Linked DNA regions of Schizosaccharomyces pombe. The gene in region 2 interacts genetically with the main gene of each other region. Each region holds a gene or a part of one and is shown on either strand. Other genes may lie near its edges.

Region 1 (5,192 bases), on a different chromosome or scaffold from region 2:
AGATGACTACTCCTCAATGGATTGACATCGTCAAGACTGGTACTCACAAAGAGTTAGCTCCTTACGACCCCGATTGGTATTATGTCCGCGCTGCTGCCATTGCCCGCCACATCTATCTCCGCAAGCAAGTTGGTGTTGGCCGTCTTTGCAAGGTCTATGGTGGTTCCGTTAACCGTGGCATGCGCCCTTCTCATCACCGTGATGGTTCTGGCAGTGTACAACGCAAAGTTGTTCAAAGCTTGGAGAAAATCGGTGTTCTTGAAAAGTCCGACAACGGTGGCCGCCGTATTTCCCAACAAGGTCAACGTGATTTGGACCGTATTGCCTACTCTCTTTTGGAAGAAGAAAGCGAGTAAGCATTTCTATAGTCTTAATCTAAGTGTTTAAGTGGCTTCTCTTAATGGGTTTATTGAATAAGTAGACGAAAAAAATCGTAATATAAATAAACCTTTTACCTTTAAACTGGCATGTAATCCCTGTAGACTTTTCATTACCGTATCAGACATATTAATATAAAAACACATGGATTATTTATTAATTTCTATTCTCCTAATTTTCTACGAAGTATACAATAAATAGTAATAGGCACGTCGACGATCATGGTATTACCATCTGTCTACTCATTCTCCGAGTAAAATACTCAAGCTCAAATACTTAGTTTTTCCTCATTTTCCATCAACGAGCGTTCAGCAAAGCAAAAGAACTTAAATAAGCTCATTAAATCTTGACTGGTTTAGTCTGTAGACGTTAAATAACATAAATCACATAGATACTTTCTTTCCACAAGTCTAGTAAAAATACTAAACTTAATTGAATTCCCATATCATTAATCCATTTCCCTTTAACTATGCTCAATCTGAAGTGAGCTCTGATTCAACATCACTGGAATAATTTGGCAATGGATCAGTTGGCACCTCAATAGGTAAAATAGTATATACTTTCTCAGCTTCAGAACTAGCGACATCAGAGAGCGGAGTAGAATGAACCTCCTTAGTTATTGAAGCTTCATTTTCCGCATGTAAAACGGAAAATATCGTATCAGAACTAGCATCCAGATTATCAGCGCGACTTACTTCGGAGTAATCCTTCACACTATCAGTCTGGAGGTTAGAACTATCAATTACATGACCATCTTTTTCCAAGCTTGGATCTTTAACATCAATAGGTAAAATTGAATAAATTTTTTCGGCTTCAGACTCTGGAATATCACTAGGCTTAAAGGAATAAGTCTCTTCAGCAACAGATTGTGGAACATCAATAGGTAAAATGGAGTAAACTTTTTCGGCTTCAGATTTTGGAACATCAGAAGGTAAAAAGGAATAAGTTTCTTCAGCAACAGATTTTGGAACATCGATAGGTAAAATGGAGTAAGCTCCTTCGGCCTCAGATGTTGAAACATCAATTGGTAAAATAGAGTAAACGTTGTCAGCTTCGGATGCAGGAATATCGATCGATGGAAAAGTGGAGAGTCCTTCATTAATATTGTCATTGAGCGTGCCAGTGTAACTTATTTCCTGTGTATTGGAAGAAGATGTACTGGTTGCTTGATTTGTTTTAATAGTTTTATCACTATTTAAATCATTGAAGATTTCATCATCCTCATTGAGTAAAGAATCGCGTTTCAAAATTTTACGCTCAGAATCAGCTCCATGGGTTGGAATGCTTCTTTCATATATTTCAAAAGATGCAGTACTGAAATTGACATCATCACAGTCAGCATGCTCATCATTAATTTCAACAATTTTATGGACCTGATCGGAAACGAGATAATCAAAGTTAGGAAGTTCAGCAGAAGATCTATCAACCATTTTGAGTTTATGGGAATTTTTTACAGCAGTTAATCGCTGGACTGCACTAGAAGCAACACTTCCTATCCGTGAAAGGTGTTGTTTAATAACGTTGTCAAGAGTTTCGCCATAACGGTTACCAACCTTTTCGCTTTCTGCAGTAATGTATGAATATACTTTCTGAATCAGTGCATTTAGTTTATTCACTTGCTCAGCATTGTGTTTTATTCCAGAGCAAGCAGCAAGGGCTACCTCAGAAGAGGCAGCAGCTTGTTCGCGAATTGAATTAATGCCCATCTCAATGTTTTCAGCTACGTCCGCACGAATTGAATCACTTAGAGTCCTGAGTTTAATAGCACGTTCGTGAACCCTTAAAATAGAATCTTTAACGTATTCAAATAGATCCATAATTGCCTGATCGTAATTAGATTCTTCGGCTTTTTGAATAAGATTTCCTAAGGAATTCTCAACTGCCAATACACGAAGGTTAGAGATCTCTTCAAATGCTTCAAGTTCCTTTTGACAACTATCGGTAGCCTTACGAAGAAGATCTTCCCAATGCTCGGAAACTGAAAGAGTAAACGTAGAAACCAAGGTTTCATACTCATGCTCAAGGTAATTCATTGCGTTGGAGAAGCAGTCATTTTGACTGTTGAAAGTAACAGAAGAGGGAATGGAATATTCAGTTGCCGGCTCTTCTTCTGCAGCTTCCATTGGTACAGGCGTTTCTACAGACTTTGTTCGCGATAAGATAGTAGGAGAGGATGTGTAATGTGCTGAGCTGGACGCCATGGAAGCAGACATTTCAGACAGTATTTTTGAGCTTGTTGCTGATGCAAAGGCCTCCGATTTTTCCTCGACAACACTCTCATAAATATGCTGAAGTTGGGGTTTAATATGCATGTCCAGAAAGGTACGCAAAAATCTTATAGACGTCTCAATCATTTGAGTGATTGTAGCCTTAGCGGCAGGAAAAAACACATAGCGTAATTGCATGTAACCATCCATTGCCCCTCTCTGAATAATGGGTTTATAATGGTGATATGCCGGTATAGCATGAATCTCCCAAAAATATTGAAGCTTCTCGGCAATGTCCCTCGAGATGGTACGAACTTCTTGTACAACTCTTTGAAAAAACGGAATCAGAACATCAACAATAAAAAAATGAATCCTTTCCTTCCCTGTTGTATAGAGTTCACGTAAATTATCGCCATCCAACACTTTAGAGCCAATTTTCCTGGCTTTTTCGTTGAATGCTTTTATACAAGGTGCGACTTTTTTATCGATTACTTCATTAACCTCATATCGAATATTCTCAACTTTAGGCTTTGCATGCTCATCGTAGTAAGACTTTACATTAACAGTAGCCTGCTTTGCAGCATCTACGATAGGACTGGCTTTAGCAATTTGAGATTGAACAACCGTTCCGTAGGGACGGACGTGATAATCATATATACTTTTCAAAGCAGCACCTTTGTCCTGCTTTTTGGCTTTTCTAGCTAACACGCCATTATCTTGAAGAATAAGGGAAAATAAAAAAGTAATAATAAATGCCCTTGCTATTGCTTTAAAGTATCTTTCGATTTTCATTCTATGAAACTAAAGTGTACAGTTAGAAAGTAAAACTAACTTATTTGAAAAAGGAAAATGGAAACAATAATTAAAAACACAACTTTACTACTGTAGTCAAAGCAGCAATATTTTAGCTGCTAGTTGTGGTCAGCAGATAGGAAGTGGGGAAAGATGTAATAGTCGAGCAACCTATACTAAGAGTACTCAATCAATTATCGTGTACCTTATATACCTATAGAAGCGGGAATGCCAACACCAATTTTATTATTCAAATAAAAATAATCAGTATTTGAGAGTTTACAATTATAATATATGGACGAGTTTCGCATAGACACATTATCGAGATAAATTCAAAAAAAATAAAAGGTAAATTTTACTTAAAAGTGACAACTTAAGAATAGAAATAATTTAATACCAACATGTGATCCACAATTTGTAAACAAACAAGCACTTTACGAGGTTGTCTGTCAAACACCATATTCAATACATTGGTCCTACACCAACTTATACAAGCTTTTTAGCTTTTCTCTATTGACAAGCGCGTACTAATTGTTTTTAAATACTCACTATCAAATTTAAAAATTTAGGTATTGTAATCGTATACAAAGAATGGAAAACTAAAGTTTCAAAGAACAAAAAAATGAGTGAAGAAGTGGTACTTCAGAAGATACAATACTTAAGAGTTACGCCATAATTGGTAAACATTAGGAACAAGACTGATCCAAGCGCCATACACAGTTCCCATAAGACCGCGAACAAATTGCCAAGCCTTTTGAGAATCGGGAATAGGATAGTCAACAGCAGGGGGAATGCCAGTATGGATGGCACTAAATCGATCGTAAGCAATAGCCTTGGAATTGCAGATTCCGCGTAGACCCTCATATCCGGCAAATCTTCCATAACCACTTTTCTTGCAACCACCAAAAGGCATTTGTAGCAAATAAAAGGCACCAAAATCATTAACAGCAACCATACCGGTTTCCAAATTATCAGTGAAATATTGACATAATTGCTTATCCCGGCCAAACACGGATGCCCCCAACCCAAATTCAGTACCGTTAGCAATCTCTAAAGCATGTTCGGGTGATTTTGCTCGAAAAACAAGTGCAATTGGAGCAAAGCACTCTTCTTGGGCAATCTTCATCTCATTAGTAGCATCAACAAGCAAAGTGGGTAAAAAATAATTTCCTTTAGGATACTTAGGATGTTGAAAACGGTGACCACCGTACACTAAACGAGCTCCTTTGCTAACAGCATCCTGTATTAAAGATTCTAAATGATCAAATCGATTATTAGATACCATAGCACCCATATCGACATCATTTTGGGTGTACATGCCAAGTCTCATAGTGGAAATTCTGTTGTATAATTTCGTAATTATGGTGTCGTAAACGCCATCCAAAGCAATGATACGCTCAATACCAATACAATTTTGTCCGGCACTTTGGAAAACACCTCGCATAACTATAGACAAGATCTCTTCTAGTCTGTGGTCGTCAGTTAAAATACAAGGATCTTTTCCTCCTAATTCAAGGCACAAGGGAGTAAGTTGTTTTGCAGCAGAAGCAGCAACCAATTTTGCGATAGGCTGAGAACCAATGAAAGTTATATGCTTAATTCCAGAGTGACTGGTAAGGTGATCAGCAACATCTGGTAGACAAGTAATACATTGAACGAGTTCAGGGGAATGGCCCATTGATTGTAATAAACTACGAACCATTTCACAATATTGATGTGTAGACCACGCTGTAAGCTCGCTTCCCTTCACAACAATAGCGTTTCCAGCAAACAATGCAGAAATGATAGGACCCAAGGCATTGTGAAGAGGATAGT
Region 2 (7,984 bases):
AACTAGAGGCTAACAATGCCTTTCATAGAAAACCTATTATCAAGAATAGAGACGTTGTTCTGTCAGGCAAATTTTTACGATTTCACCGATTCAATATACCCGGATTTTGGAAGTATTTACCCACTAGACAAAAGATGAATGTTTACAAAAGAAACAAACGTCTCAAATTTCAAAATTATATACACATAATGGAATCTGATGAAAGACAATCAAAACTGAAATTAGGACGAGTCAGAGCACGGAAGACAAAAAATAACGAAAACACCATGTTTTTTGATTCTAAGGAACATTCGACAGATGAAAGCGATGGTAACCTTGGAGAACATGATGTAAAGCGCAAGGTAGATTCTGTACCCGCCGATGAGACTAGCATCAATGGTTTTAAGAAATCTGTTAATCAGGCTGAGTATCCTGATAATGCTCAAATGTTCATGGATGAAAGTGTCGCAGAAGAAAGTCTTGTGGAAATTGATGACAGCGTCGAAGCCTACGACATGATTCAATCCAAAAACTACGAAAGCTTTGTTTGGAAATATGTGCTGCATTTAACCGATGAGATGTCGACAGAGGACGCTCTTTTTGAAACTATACCACTTAGTAATTTGCTGGCTCAAAAGCGAATGAAAGACAAGTTAAAAGGTTCCGACGTGTTTACGACTCTTAAAATAACTTCCAAGAGCTTGCACAACATTGACGAACATTCCGATAGTGATGATGAAGTTCAACCTATATGTTATTATTACAAGGATCCAGTTGTTTCCCATGCCCCGGGTGCAGCTGAAGTCGTATCTGAACTTGAAAGCGGATATGTAGGGTTAATATCCTATGATTTGTCTAATCTTCCAAATAGTACAGAAGATCCTGAAAGGAAACTTGCAAAACCTGTCTCTTCTTGGGAGTTGTCACTCCCTTTAAAATAGATGTCTTCATTTTCGAACTACAGTCTTGAAGCCTTTACAAAAACATAAATTGTTTTTTAGCGCTGCCTCTGTGTTGGATAGCAATCCTTTCTTTTTATCGTCATTTTCTGCCAAGTTTGTTTTTTCCTAGAAAGAAAATTTAATACTTCCTCTTTATAGCAATCAGTTATTGCCATTTATAATGATGAGTCCCAGTGTTCACAATATTCTGAAACTTTTTTTGTTAAAAACTGATTGCTTTCTTCCGTATAATTGTCCCAATATTCGCACCACAACTATAAAAATTTTTTTTAGGAGCCTTTACTTCCTTCTTAAAAGCAATAGTTACTTAATCAATTATAGCGACCCCGCTATTTGAGATACACATTTTATAAATTCTACACTTTTTGGAAACGAGCATTTTCTCTTGTCCCTTTATTTGACGATCCGACCGTTCACGCTACAAACGTCTACAAAATTTTTTTCTCTAGAAAGCATCTCTCCTTCTGTTTACTCCTGTTGCTACCGAAATTTTTTCTTTTTTTTTGTCCTCTGTGTTTTTTGATCAGGAATGTATATATCTTTAACCATTTTTTAGCGGGTTTTTTCTAAAGGTAAAGCTATTTAAGCCAGAAAAACAGTTCATTTTCCTTTTTCCTTCTAATTTCGGCAATTTCCCTTTTCACAAATATCACCATTTTTGAGTGGAAAGAAAAGCCTAGAGAGCGGAAACGCTGCCAAACCCATTAAAATTAATTATCTGTAATATTATAATCGTATTTAATAGCTATTCATAACACCCGTTTCGTCTAAACTCCCGTAATAAACCATGTGACTTTTGGCAATTTTACGCACCATATCGTAGAACACGGCGATAATTTCCATAGTGTTTCGCTAGGCTAGGGCAAGGCAAGCCAAAGACCATAGTGCCATGTGTACGACGCATGCAAATTTTAAGGGATTAGAGTGAACGACTCGCTACTGCCGTTCTCACCGCTCCACTGGGCAATGATGCCAACAACTGCAGTAATAATTATTCCTTAGCCATTTACCAATTGTTTCGAACTTCAATCATAAAATTGGGAATATTTTCATTTACTTGATGGGAAGCTGAGGAATGAAAATAGGTACCCAAAGGAATCGTTGTGAAAATAAAAATCAACAAAGCCAAATTCATGACGCTAGATTGAAGTTCATAACGTTTAGCAGGAAATAAGAAGAGCATATATACGATAAGATGATATTTCGAAAAAGTATTTCCAAATCTCCATCAAGCAAGGGAAGCACAGTATGCTTTCGCTGCGGACAGGCATTTCAACGTAGAGAGACACCTATTTCGTTTGGGGGTCATATGTGGCATAAGGATTGCTTCTGCTGTACGAAGTGCGATAAAGGATTGGAGCACAGTGATCAAATGCTGGTGCAAACCTCTGATGGACGACCGGTGTGTAGCTCTTGCGCCCATACCTGTACAGCGTGTCGTATGAGGATCAAGGACTATGCCCTAATGTCAGGCTACGACTCCTATCACAGAGAGTGTTTTCGTTGCCATGATTGCCGAAAGCAAATAATTGACTCTAACTTTAAAAGAGATAATAGGACTATATTTTGTAATGATTGTAAACAAGTCCGTCACCCTTCCAGGTCTTCAGACGAGAGCGCTGATTATCACAATTTTGAGGTTGATGTCACGATTAAGCCCACAGAGACAAAGTCTTCAGTGGAATCTAATAAGTCTTTAAGCATTGAAATTATGTCTCCTCAAAAGCCACCATTATCACCTTTTGGTGGAAGCAGAGACCGCTTAGTTAGCGAAACACCGACTAACATGAGTCAGGCAGAAGGGGGTAATGTGCCGAACGATGGACAGGATAGTAATCTTGCGTCTAATTCTGCAGATTCGCTGCTGCCTAGTGCCAAAAATCGAAGTTTTTCCTCGTTTACGAGTTTTGAATCGCCGATGAAGTATGACGATTCTTTCTTTCCTATTTCACCTTCTATATCTCCGTTACAAAAAGTTAACAAGCAGCAACAAATTGAGTCTCCTACAGCCACATTTCCGTTAAGCAAAAATACTTGGAAGAATCGATTCCATACGTTTCACAAACAATCTTTTACTCCTGTTAACGATAGCTCTTCCTCGGACAGCTTAAAACCCACAATTAATGAGGAAGCCCTGGACGACTTTGCTGGCTCTGCTTCTCCTTATAAAACCATGTCATTGACTGACCGAGCAGAGCCAATTGTCATGAATGGACATATGCGTTCTCTTCACAATGCCACCTCTCCCTTTCGGCCTTTTTCTCCCTCTTACAGGTCGAGTGATACGCATTCACCGAGAACCCGCTCACCGAATGTCCAAACCCATAAAAAAACCTCTTCTCAGCCATCTGACCTTTCATCTTTTGCGCAGCTACTTTCACCGCCTCAGGTTCTTTCTCCCAAACCAAATGGCGGGGGCCATAAAAGTTTTCGGCATTCGCATTCTCTTTCTGAGACTTCTCAGCAAACACTCGTTCCTTCGCTGGGATCTAATGGAGAGTACCATTTACCGACAAACGATCATTCTTCAACTCCAGCACAATCAGAGCGAGATTCGGATGTTGAAGAATTGCGTGAACAGTTGGAAAATCTTACTGCTCTTACCAAAAAATTGTCCGAAAGGCTCTCAAGTTCTACGTTTGACAACTCTAAGTTTATTCGTACGGAAGATAAGGATACTGTTCGTTCGGCTAAACTTGAAATTTGTGAAAAGTTTTTTTCGTTTGCTGATGTGACAGATGATCCCACGCTGAAAGATCCGAAACATCAGGATTTGGTGGCTGCCGCCAATGCTTACATGGCAATGCTTCGTGAGAGTTACGGCACTGAAATAAACAATCTTTTGGAAAGGAGAAATGAGCTGCTTGACGATTACAATAATGTACAAAAAATTTTAAATGAATCGCTTGAAGCATCTGTACACCTAAATACCAAAAATCTCGAGTTGGCCGACTTAAACAACAATTTGGTAAAACAAATTCAGCATAGAGTACCTCCTGAAAACCAATCCAATTTGGAGCATACTATTACCACATCTTCCAAAAATACAACCAGCAGTATTAATCCACTTACTGCCGTGAGTAGCAACTCTGGGCAGTCATCAGGTCGACCTGGTCCGTTGTCACCAAATTTGAATGTGACTACGAGAATTGACATTAAGGGAAAAAAGGGAAGTATGCATTTGCAACCAAGAGATGTAAACCGTAAAGTCCCGTTCAAATCAATGCATACTAAATCAAAGTCTGCCGATCCTGTAGTAGGAAATGAAGATCGTACTCAATGTGACCATGTGTTTCATGTTAATGCCATATTCAAGCCCTCAAGGTGTTATATATGCTCGGAGAGCGTATGGGGATCTGAACTCCGCTGCTTTCATTGCTCAATTTCATGCCATTCGCGGTGTTTAAAAAGGCTGTTTGCAGAGTCGGAGCATGAGAAAACAATGAGTGAAACTGTAAGTGAAAATAGTAAATGGATGCCGGAAATGCCAACGAGGATGCCTCCTCCTGGGCCTTCACCAACGATGTTTGGACGATCGTTAGAAAATCAATTGAAAATTGAAGGGTCGGTTTTGCCTCAAGTAATTGCTATGTGCGTTTCTTGCGTGGATGCGCATGGATTGGAGGTTGAAGGTATTTATAGGATATCTGGCAGTGCTTCTCAGGTCCGAGTGTTAGTCGACGAATTTGAAAACGGGTCTATCCGAATGGAGCATTTGACTTCTGACTTGTTTGCCTGTACGTCGGTTTTGAAAACATATTTGCATCGCTTACCGGAACCAGTTATACCTGGCACTCAATACGAGGAGTTGTTGGAAGCGGAAAAAATCGAAAAGGAAGAGGAAAAAATTGAACGGGTAGTGGAAGTAATGAAAACGCTTCATCCTGCACATTTGAGCGTATTTCGATTTTTGATTGCACATTTGGGTCGTGTATGCAAGCACGCGGAGAAAAATTTGATGAACTCGAAAAATGTCTCTACAGTATTTGCACCTACTTTAATGCGAGATAAGGTGAATCGGTTTGATTTACAGCATGCTACCAAAAAGAGTACGGCTCTTCAGTTTATGCTTGATAACGTGGATAAGATTCTTCATAATCTGTAGCTTGTTTTATGAATAATGATTAAAATATCGGGGAACTTGTATTTTTCTAGGGAAGAAGGAACTTTACGATAATAATAACCACTTGTGTTCCAAACTTCAATAAGGAATACTTTTCGAAGAAATAATGAGACTTTTTTTACACCTCTTTTTTTTAATGAAAAAAGGAAAACAAAGATATTAGCATAACACTCTTACATTTACGACTGAACTATTCAAACTGGGTAATACAGGATGTACATTATGACAAGCAGGCAAGCACACGCACGCTCATCAGATACAAATAAATACGCACGCAAATGGAGATTGTATAAAGATATTTGCCATTAAGCATTGCGAGATGCAAAATAAGGAAAATATAATGCTAATTTGATAAAAAAAAAAGAAAACAAACTCTTTTTAACGATACTAAACAGAACTCAACTCGATTTGGTTCGAGTATTTCGTTTCTCATAACTTGAACATAAACACAACATAAACAACTCATCAAAGACACATACATACACAAACACTACGGTCGTGCCATCATGTCTCGAAATCTCAAAGAATGGTATGGGGAACATGGTGAGGGATGAATGGCAGTGAACGTGAAAGGGGATGGATGGCATAATTAAATGTAATCTGCAACATTGTCAGTCAGGGTATGACTAATCAAAAAATAAAAATTACAAGGGAGTAAGAAAAAAAAAACAAAAGCAATCAAATAGTACTACCTAAAAGGCTTATATCCCTATCAAGATAAGGATCGTTTTGCTCTTCCTCATCAAGTTGTTCCTCGTTATTGTTTGCATTTTTCTTTTGTGTTCCATTAGCGCTCTTGGAGCGTGATTTCTTTCCTCCAAAGATGCTGCCAAGACCGCCAAGAGACGAGAAATTAACACGGCCAGTATGTTGACTGGAACGGTTGCGAGTAGACTCGGACCTGGAGTCATCGTCGCCGATATCTTCCTGAGTGGCATGGTAGCTGGAGCTCTCCATGTCATCCTCCTCTTCCTGGACCAAAGGTCCGGCCTCTGGATATTCATTCATGTATTCGTTGAATGAATGAACGCCCATCGAAGGATGGCGTTGTCTACCGGAGAAGGAGTGTTTGTCAACATGATGACCATGGGTTTCTTGAGTTTGATCACTAGAAGTAAAACGATTTGCCATTGCGGTGGATTTGAAGAAATTCGATTAGTCAATTAGTATTGGATGAAATTCAATTTCAAATTGATTTGGATTTGGATTGGATTGGACTGTCAATAACAATTTTCAACTCAATTGGTTATTGTTTGTTTTGTTATTGTTGTTGTTAGATTGTCAGTGGGTGGGTAATTTAGCTTGACTCGCTGATGATCAATAAGGGTGGATATGAATACGATTCGGTATTTGTTATTACGAAGGATGAAATATATATGTACTGTATTTTGGGAATGGAATTTTCACTCTTAGTGCCCAACCTTCTATTTATCTCCTTGCTGTGGCCAAATGTCATACGTATTGGGTTGCTACATTGAATGTAAGTGTGCCTTACTCGTCCTTTCACCCGCAACTCCATTGTTATCCAGCATCGTCATCCACTGCAATCGTGGCGCCAACCTCTTCACTTCCACCACCCATATAGCATATTTCCGTGAGTGTGTACCTCGGCGAGATCCGTTAAGTGGGTTTACGAAACAGGCCAAGAGGAGGAGGAGGGTTTGGTGATAATGCAATGGAGCACACAAGTAAGCAGGACGAAGTATGATTGATGGATGGATGAAGGAAAAGAAGAGAAAATGGCAGGTTGGTTTAGAAGAGGCTGTTCATCCCGTGGTATCGCAGTCTCAAGTATGGCACGGAAAACAAGCGTCGTTTTAATTGTCCAGGAGAAAAACAAAAAGGAAACAAGACTTTAGAGGGTCAGTCTTTTTTTTATGTCTTTTCTATTTTTGCTTTATGTTGTTGTTTTATATTCTTTCTTTCTTTTTTCTGCCTTCTTGACAATTAATTGATTTCCGCGGCAAGCTTAGTCAGTCTATAATACGGTGTTGTGCATCAGAGATGTTATGGCATTGCGTCATGATCGACACCCTTCCTAATCCCTTTTTTCTCCGCCTTCGCTTCCCCACACTTGGAGTCACAAGGCTGAGTCGATGCTACCTGAAAAGATGGGGTAATGGCATGACGAAAAAGACTGCAGGAAGAGAGGGGTGGGTGAAAGAAAGGGATTCAAACGAGACATCAATAATGGATGGAAGAAATAAAAACATAAAAGAAAAAAGAAAAAAAAAAGAAAGAAAAAGTTAAAGAAGATGAAAATTTTTGTTTGTTTGTCTCAGAACTAAAGTTTTTTTTGCTCAATTTTCTGTTCAATTTCTTTGATTCGCATTTTGTTTTGTTCCACTTTTTCTTTTTTTTTTGTCTTTGTTCCACCATTGGTTTTCTTTATCCATCTCTGTCCATTGTTGGTAATCTTGCTTTATGATTATAGGAGTCCTTTGTTTTCTCTCTCTCTTTTTTTTTTTATTTCTTTGTATGAATTGCCTTTTTTTTGACTAGCGTTCTTTGTCATACATGTCATCTTGAAATAGATGGTTTTGATTGTTTCTTGTTTTCAATAACTTTTTTTTTTTTTTTTCTGCTCTCTTTCTCTTTTCATTTTTTTTTTGGTCAGCGTGAGATACTGGCTTTCATTGAGCTACAATAAATAGTTTTGACTTTTTATTTCTATTTCTATTTCTTCTTTATTTTCCTGCTGTCTTTCTCTTCTCGCATACACAAAAGAGACTCAAACATACACACACACATACTCGGAGAGTTTCTCTCTCTCTCTCTCTCTTTTTTTTAGAGTTTCCTTTTTGCTCACTTGTTTTTCTTTGATCGTCGTTCTTTACGACATCTTTGTATTATAACGAAAATAACCTTTATTTGGACTTTCTTTTTATTCACTGTGGATGAGCTCACTGTGTTGTTCCAT

Evidence for each region. Genes that interact genetically often act in the same process or in processes that back each other up.
Region 1: mutations in rga3 (region 2) and SPOM_SPBC21C3.14C together harm fitness more than expected from each alone (negative genetic interaction), as found in Schizosaccharomyces pombe (one large-scale study listed by BioGRID).

The regions. Positions count from the first base shown.
Region 1 is NC_003423.3:3,818,533-3,823,724, forward strand, and holds SPOM_SPBC21C3.14C (uncharacterized protein), read right to left. Parts: upstream 3,535-5,192; 5' UTR 3,378-3,534; coding exon 852-3,377; 3' UTR 506-851; downstream 1-505. Other genes in the region: rps1901 (40S ribosomal protein eS19), read left to right, coding at 1-356; SPOM_SPBC21C3.15C (aldehyde dehydrogenase), read right to left, coding at 4,036-5,192.
Region 2 is NC_003424.3:5,122,991-5,130,974, reverse strand, and holds rga3 (Rho-type GTPase-activating protein Rga3), read left to right. Parts: upstream 1-1,941; 5' UTR 1,942-2,136; coding exon 2,137-5,046; 3' UTR 5,047-5,742; coding exon of another isoform or gene 5,743-6,195; 3' UTR 6,196-6,361; coding exon of another isoform or gene 6,362-6,583; 3' UTR 6,584-7,647; downstream 7,648-7,984. Other genes in the region: RNA polymerase I upstream activation factor complex subunit Rrn5, read left to right, coding at 1-920; protein mug108, read right to left, coding at 5,743-6,195; SPOM_SPAC29A4.22 (uncharacterized protein), read right to left, coding at 6,362-6,583. UniProt on the Schizosaccharomyces pombe protein: GTPase-activating protein for Rho-type proteins.